Coturnix japonica: one gene and its partner. The protein of the gene in region 2 interacts with the protein of the main gene of each other region in a biochemical or structural test. Links are inferred from orthologs where the notes say so. Each region holds a gene or a part of one and is shown on either strand. Other genes may lie near its edges.

Evidence for each region.
Region 1: the proteins of CTTN (region 2) and ACTR3 form a complex in vitro, tested with the Homo sapiens proteins (3 studies listed by BioGRID). The link is inferred for Coturnix japonica from reciprocal best matches to the Homo sapiens genes CTTN and ACTR3.

The regions. Positions count from the first base shown.
Region 1 is NC_029522.1:26,867,028-26,870,851, forward strand, and holds part of ACTR3 (actin-related protein 3), read right to left. Parts: intron 2,892-3,824; coding exon 2,767-2,891; intron 2,220-2,766; coding exon 2,109-2,219; intron 641-2,108; coding exon 545-640; intron 1-544. UniProt on the Homo sapiens protein: ATP-binding component of the Arp2/3 complex, a multiprotein complex that mediates actin polymerization upon stimulation by nucleation-promoting factor (NPF).
Region 2 is NC_029520.1:6,901,144-6,904,926, forward strand, and holds the end of CTTN (src substrate cortactin), read right to left. Parts: coding exon 3,689-3,783; intron 3,057-3,688; coding exon 2,985-3,056; intron 2,401-2,984; coding exon 2,264-2,400; 3' UTR 609-2,263; downstream 1-608.

The DNA of each region.
Region 1 (3,824 bases), on a different chromosome or scaffold from region 2:
CCACTAGAACTAAATAAGTGCCTGCTTAGGACAGCTTGAAGCGTTTCAGCATGCATTTCAGCAGGAAAAACCTTTGTCTGAAATCTTGTTTACTAAACAAATCCAATTAGTCTGCTTTCAATTTTCTCCCCTGTTGATGGAAACTTCCTCTGAACAGTTACTAACTAAAAGTGCTTGAAATTCTCTTGTGGTAACTTACAGCACGGAAAACTGATTTTGTAATGTGTGTATACAATAGCTTTCAAACAATAACAAAGACTGCAGAAGCATAGCTTTTGTCTTCTGATGCTTTTTAAGCATATCCAATATAAAGACTCTTTTTGCTGCTTCATCTTGAACAGGACTCAGCTTTTAGCCTACAACCACAATTGTGGTGTGTTTTGTTTAAGGTGCAGCAAGATTTTTATATTGTGTCTAGAGTCCTAACTCCATACCTAGAGCTGAGTAACATACCTAGATAAACATCCAGCAATGGAAATGGTGACCAGAAGCACAGAAGAATGCTTCAAGAGTCATTTAATATTTGAAATAGCTCTGCTCTTACCTGAACAGCAATATATAGTCCTGGAACATTGAAAGACTCAAACATGATTTCAGCAGTATATTCTCTATTTTCTGGAGTATTTAATGGAGGTTCAGTCTATGAAATAAAGAAAAACATTTGACATGCATTCAGATCAAACATTTAAACTTCTCTCAAAAATCACCTAGAGCTAAATTTTGAAAGATGACTCATTCAAGAACAGCATGTAAAAATAATCGAGTGCAAAGGGGGTTATTAAAGGCAAATGTTGTAATGAAGAAAATCAAGGAACACCCATGGCACGAACAGAATTACTGCAAGTCACACTGCAAAAGCACAATGCAAACAGAAAGAGCAGAAATGAGAAACAGAGTAATTACTGTTTAAGAATTTACATCAGTGGTCCTATCTATCCCTTGGTCAGCTTATTATAACGCATGTTTTCACAAAGAATCAAAGACCTTGCATTTTACATGTTTAGGTTTAAGTATGCAAAGTACAGATACTAAAGAAAATCAGAAATTCACTGAAGAAAAAAGCTACTTTTCTTCAAGAGGCAATGATTATAAAACTAAAGTTTATATCAGCCGTTGTAGAAATGTGTTTAACAGAGCAACAATGTGCTTAACAGCACACAATGATATAACTATAAATTTTGTATGAGTGCCATGCAAACAAGCAACCCTCTCCTCTAAAAGAGCATTTTGAATAGTGCCAGAGAATATCTGAGCAAAAGCATCTATCTTTTGTTGCATCAACCATGTAAGGGTAAAGACAGGAGGGAGTCAGACTCTTCATAAAGGTGGTACATCAAGAGGTCATGGAAACCAACAGCAACATGGGAAACTCTAATTACTTATTAGGAGGGAAAAAAAGGCAGTGTGAGGGTTGGTGAAGTAGTGGGAGACGAGCCCACATGTTATGGCACCTCAATGCCTGGAGATACTCAAAGCTTGGATGAAGGGCCCTGAGCAATTAGATCAAAGGGTGCAGTTGTATTAGTTTATATAACAAGAACAACCAACGCACTCAATTCCAAACTTGTGATCTAAAATTCAAACTTAAAAATACTGTTATTTCAATGGCTTTAAATGAAATGCTAAGGAACAGGAGAGACTTCAGAACATCTGACCTCAGTTCAGGCCTGACATGTCCACATATCACAATCAATCCTTCTGAACTTAATAAAGAAAGGAGACAAAATGTCACCCTAGATACACTAACCAGGTGGCAGTACTATAAAAAACAAAATTATTGCAATGACATGAAGTCAAAACATAGAGGTACCCAAATGCAAGCACCACTGCTGAGTTCAGTGGATAAAGAATAAAAGAGGGAGAAGACAGAGGTGCATTGGTGTGAAAATTAAGGAAGGAAAGAAAGCTTGCAGTTCAGACTCAATTTCAGCACTTTCAGAAAGCTGAAGAAATGTGAATATGATAAGCCAAGCGCCAGGGAAGTTTCATGTAATTTATATTTCCTTTATTTTTCAAGGTAAGCACATCCATATTTGAGAATTATTCCACAAATCAGCACAAAGTTCTTGTCATATACTATTTCACAGACACGACATAATTTTACCTACCAAAAGAAAATAATGGTCCTCGGGTTCTGCCCTTAAATACTTAAAGATTACTTGCTCCATAAACCTTTCCATCAGGTCCCAGTCTTCAACTATACCATGGCGAATGGGCCACTGTTACAGAACAATACCAAAATGTAACTGGAAACAAACTTAAAAACAATATTTTCAATTGCAATACAGGAACTTTATCAACATCTAAAAACCTTGCATTAGGTTGTCTCTATCCCAACCTGACATCTATTTGAAATTCTGATCACGGAGAAAACAACATATTAAGTGTTTCTCAGTGCAACAAAATGGTGGTACCGGGAAAAGTAATATGAAGATAAACCTTAGGATCCCCTTAGACCAGTATCCTGATTCTGATGTGGCTGATAGAACATCTCAAGGAGCAAGAAAGCATCTTCTATCTCCTCCCAACACTCTCTCGGCCACCCTTCATTTCAAAAGAAACACGCTGATATGAAATATTGTGTCCTCCCCACCCCCATCTTCCAATTCCCAGAGACTCCTGAAGGCCAGCAAAACTGACTTAATATCAAACGTTTACAATAGTTTCTAAGAAAATAAGATTACAGTTCAAAAAGCATTTACAAGCTTTGTACTGTATGCTTGATGATTTCTAACAGTATTGGAAAATCTTAGTGTCTCTCAGTACCTTGGTTGCGTAAGTTGGTTTTTCTATTGCTTCATCTCCAATAAAGAAGTCTAAATCATCAACGCCTTTCAAAACCCTTCGTTGTGCTTGATCAACCACTTTTGCTGATTCTTTGATAGCAATACCTTTAACAAAGAGAACAAATGATATTTTAGATTATACATCCAGCACTGAGAAAAACAGGAACCTTAATATTGTGAAATAGGAAAATACTGCAATTATATTCATCCTTTTGTTCTGGCACAAGCACAGAAAAGCCAATACACTAACAATTAGTACTATAAAACTCTTTTGCTTCAAGGAATAACTGGCAAAATTTAAGAGACAGCATGTTGGTAATTTATCCTTCCATAAAAATTGCTCATTATGAAGAACAGAGAAAAAAAAAAAAGAAAAAAAAAAAAGGAGAAATACTGCTAAGGCTAAAAATGGGACTCAGGGAAGATGGATCAGCGATGAGATACCGCAAGAACACAGATGTTCTTTTCTCTCCTCTTTTACATCAGCTCCCAGACTGACCGGGTCACAGTGCCGGCAAAACCTACTGTATTTTTTCCAAGTCTTAAAATACCAGTGGGAAATTTGCAGAAATAAGAACCAAGCATTAATATCCGCTCCTATTACTTAGAAGTTGTCATGTGAAAGCTCTCTCAAAGGCAGAATTATTTCAATCCTCACCTTCACCCAAGTGTTGCTTGACCAGAACCAAGCCAAGCTCAGAGCCTGGGGTCACACAGAGCTACAGGATTTGGAAACATGTAGCACATGAGGCTAATGCACCCCAGTGCACTGGGAGGCCACAATCTTCTCCCTTTTCCTCCCTTCTGTGCAGCAACAGAAGGGCTGTGCAGCCAGTGAAAATGAAGTGTTGCAAAAAACTGAACAAATATAACAAAAAGCATTATTTTGAGCTCATCGGGAGGAAAACTGCATCATATCACAACTTCTGTAGCAGCCTACAAGAGAGGAGAGAGGAAGTGGGAGCCAAAAAGCAGAGGGGTAGGTAAGAAGAAGCTGAAGTTGTGCAGAAGATGTTGCAAGGCCAGTTTGCCGCAAGC
Region 2 (3,783 bases):
AGAAGCGACAACCACATCACATTAAGGCACAAATAGGTTCAAGGCTCAGCCATTAGCAGAAATAAACAGGGCTCGTTTTCTCCTCACATCAATTAAAGGGAAAGAGGGCTGCGCCAGCCGCTCTGATGATCTGAATGATTTTCATTCAGCCAGTCTGAGGTGTGTTTCACCAGAAGTATTTCAGCTAGCTTGGGCAATGACAATCAATGAGAAAGAGTGATCTTAAAGCCTCAAGGCCTTGAATGCATCACATCTCATAGTTGTAACAGTGCAGTCATAATGTTGCTACCTACATATACTTTGAGACGGGTTGGAAGAGCCAAGCAGGCAAACCCTCATCTCTCTACTGACTACAAAACCCCCATCTCCCTGCTGTGAGTGTCATGGTTTTATGGAATAAAAATAAATGACAAAGCTACTGTGTTTCTGAGGAAAAGAATTACCCGGAAGGCAGTGGCAGCCTAGAAGAACATAGCTGCCCTTCACTACAGTACCAAGCACCACGCAGCAGCTCTCCATAGGAAGCATCCGATGGTCCCAGATGCAGATCGATGATGGGATGAACTACCTGTAACGGACTAACAAAGGGACTTAAAAATACAAAAATATTACATGCAAATGGTTCAAAAAGTTTATTGAAGATTTAATTTACAAAAATCATATCTCCCCTATGTGGTGTTCTATGCAAAATTGGATAAAATAAATTGCATATAAAACCCAACCCTAGTAATGCAAATACAACAGAGAAATGAGACCATGGAAAGGAAAAATATATATATAATCATGATGCACACATGACATTCATTAAGGATTGTCCCAACCATCCAAGAATCGGTTCAACACAATGCCTTCCAAGATACATTATATATTTTACCATTTTATACAGGTCTCCTATATTCCATTGGTCCAAAGTTACAGTTTAAAAAACCTCTTTGCGTTCTTTCTTAGCTACCGTATCAGTTCTGCTTTTCTCACTTGATCAGAAGGTGGAAACAGACGGTACATACATGTAACATGTGCACTACTAGATGCAGTTTACTATCTTTGGTAGGGACCCTAAACCTGCAGAGAAATCAGCTTTCTAGAATGACAGAAAGTTTGGTTTTAGTTTTGGCAAAGAACAGGTTTAAACCCATTGTTTAGTCAAACGCTACCGGCAGTTTCTGCTGAGCATACAAAAAGTACAGACGTCTCTTGCGTGGTTTAAAAACTGAGATTATTTATAAGGGTTTCAAAACAAATTATTTATATTAATAATCTTCAACTCAAATACGGTTACGTAAAATGTTATTACTGCACAGCAGGCCCGCCCGTTTCATTGTATGAACAAAGGATGCACTGCACACAAAATGACCGCGATTCCGTCTTGCCTTTTTTCCTCCCCTTTAAAGAAATGAGACTATCCCTTGTATGCAGTCACACAGATTTGGATGCTGGTTTCCCTTTCGGCAAGTAGGAATTTCACTCAGTAACTCAACACTCGTACAGTAATTCTTTCAAGTTTTCCCGTGAAAGTGGGGAGAGGAATTGAAACAGAAAGCAAATAAATTGAGGACAGTCAGCGTTAGAGTGTTTTGCTGTCCTCCTCTGAAATAACATGAAGAGAGGGAGCGAGATGAGAGAAAAAACAAACAAACAATGCAATATACTAGAAACTTCACTTTAAAAGAGAAGGAAAAAGTAACCGGACTGTTTCCTTCATAACATTAATATTCAGTAAATATCGGAGAGTACTCAATTAACTGCCATTAGCTGTAACTTTCAAGCATCCTCTTCACTTTTCCACATACTATCGAGAAAACAAAAGGAAGAAATTATGCCCCTTCCCAGTCCTGCCCGCCCCATTTTCTTAGTGGAAATGCAACTAACCTGCACGGCCATGATTTTCCGAGCTGAAAACACTTAGTGGAAGACTAACTAGACTTAAACACTAGGTAAATCTGCTCACTTATGAGTAAAACATGCAATATTATGACAGACAGCTAATTGTCCTCGGAAAGGCTTTTTATGACAATCGCTAATTTGGCAGAGAATGTTTCCAAATGCATGAAAATCATTTTAAGAGCCTTAGTGAAGAACAGAGTAGTTACAATATATTAGCAACTTCTGTGGCATAAACATTTTAAAAAGCAATCGGCAAAGTATTAAATATAAAAGCAATATGTATATACCCCTCCATTCTCAGAAAAGCATCATGATTTGTAGTGTACTAAGTCAGATTTATTGACCGAGGAATTAAGGCATAACCAGCAGACAACAGTCTCTATTGTCTCAGCTCCACATAATTCGCTGGGAACAACCCGTATCGGCCTTTGCAGACGCCCCTCCACCAGCCATCATCTATCATCTCTATGTTCGTGATGATGTCATCTGGATCAAAGGAGATCTCATCATCACCCGCTGGAGAGAGAGCAGAAGAAAGCTCAGTGTTCGCACAGGACCGGTCTCACTATACTCTCATTTACAGCCCACTAAAGATGCCAAGAACACCCAACACCCTGCCTCCCATCAGGGCTGTGAAACAGGGAACCGGGCAAAGACAAGCAGCACAGACAGCTGCTTTCTCATCCACAGTGCTGACGCCACTGATGACTCCCGCCTGCTTCACTTTAGGTACACTTCTAACTCAGAGCAGCAATTGCTGCGTAACACCCTGAAAACCACTCTTTCTTGAGCTCTCCCCAGATTTAACTAGAGGAAATCTAAACTACTCACACCAAGGCTATAATATGAGTGTTAACACTTAGTCAAAAAGATTTTTTTTTAAATCTCTGTAATTTCTAGAAGCGGTGGATGGCAGTTTTCAGAAACATCTCAATGTTGCTGTTAAATCAATAAATGTCCTCTTTCTTATTAAACGTTCTTAATGCTTCATATCTTCATACACTGATACAAGAGACTACAAAAGGGTAGGAAAAGAAAAAGATCTTGACTCAGCTTTCCAAAATAGGAGTTTTCACAAGATGAACAAGAGCTGTGCTTACCAGCCTGATAATCGTAAAGGGCTATGGCTGTAATTCCAAGTTCATTTTCATATTCGTCGTAAGTATTTTCTTCTGAGGGAGAGAGAAAGAAGAATAATTAAAAGCATAAAGCATACTACCTATCATCCTGAGCTTTTTCCTGTGGTATTCCTCTTGTCATTTTAATTCTAATGACACACAGAAAGAAGGGAACAAATTGATGTACCTTCTGAGATGGATTATTTTTTCCTAAACTACATACAATTAAATCCTGACACGAACCATTCTCACCTAGGCATTTCATACAGTATAAAAAATAAAAATTATTACTAGCTTTATAGCACTTAAGAATGTGACAGACCAACAACTGAGCACAAGATCAGCATGTAAGAGTATTTAATACAAACTGTTACACGTGCATGTTTGGGGGTGTGTTTAAAGAAGCGATGTGTACTGAATTTTCAGAGCAAATATAATTTTACTAACCAGAAGAGGTGAAAAAAACAGGAATTCAAAGGGCCTGTATTCTTTTAGTGCCACCAGCTTATTAGTTTTATCTTCATCTCCTAACTGATGTTTGTTGGTGGGGGATCTTCAAAGCCTCAGCAGACAAAGACTTCAGAAAACGAGGACCGTGTGATACTAGCACAACTATCCATCGGGTCACTCCCCAAAGAATAGAGTTTTCTTCATCAAAGGTTTCACATCAGATACGAATACTTTACCTGCTTGGTAATGCTCTCCTGCCCCTGCCACTTCATAGACTGTCTCTGGTTCATATTCTGCCTCTCGCTGACTCACTGCTTCTTGGTAGTCTGAC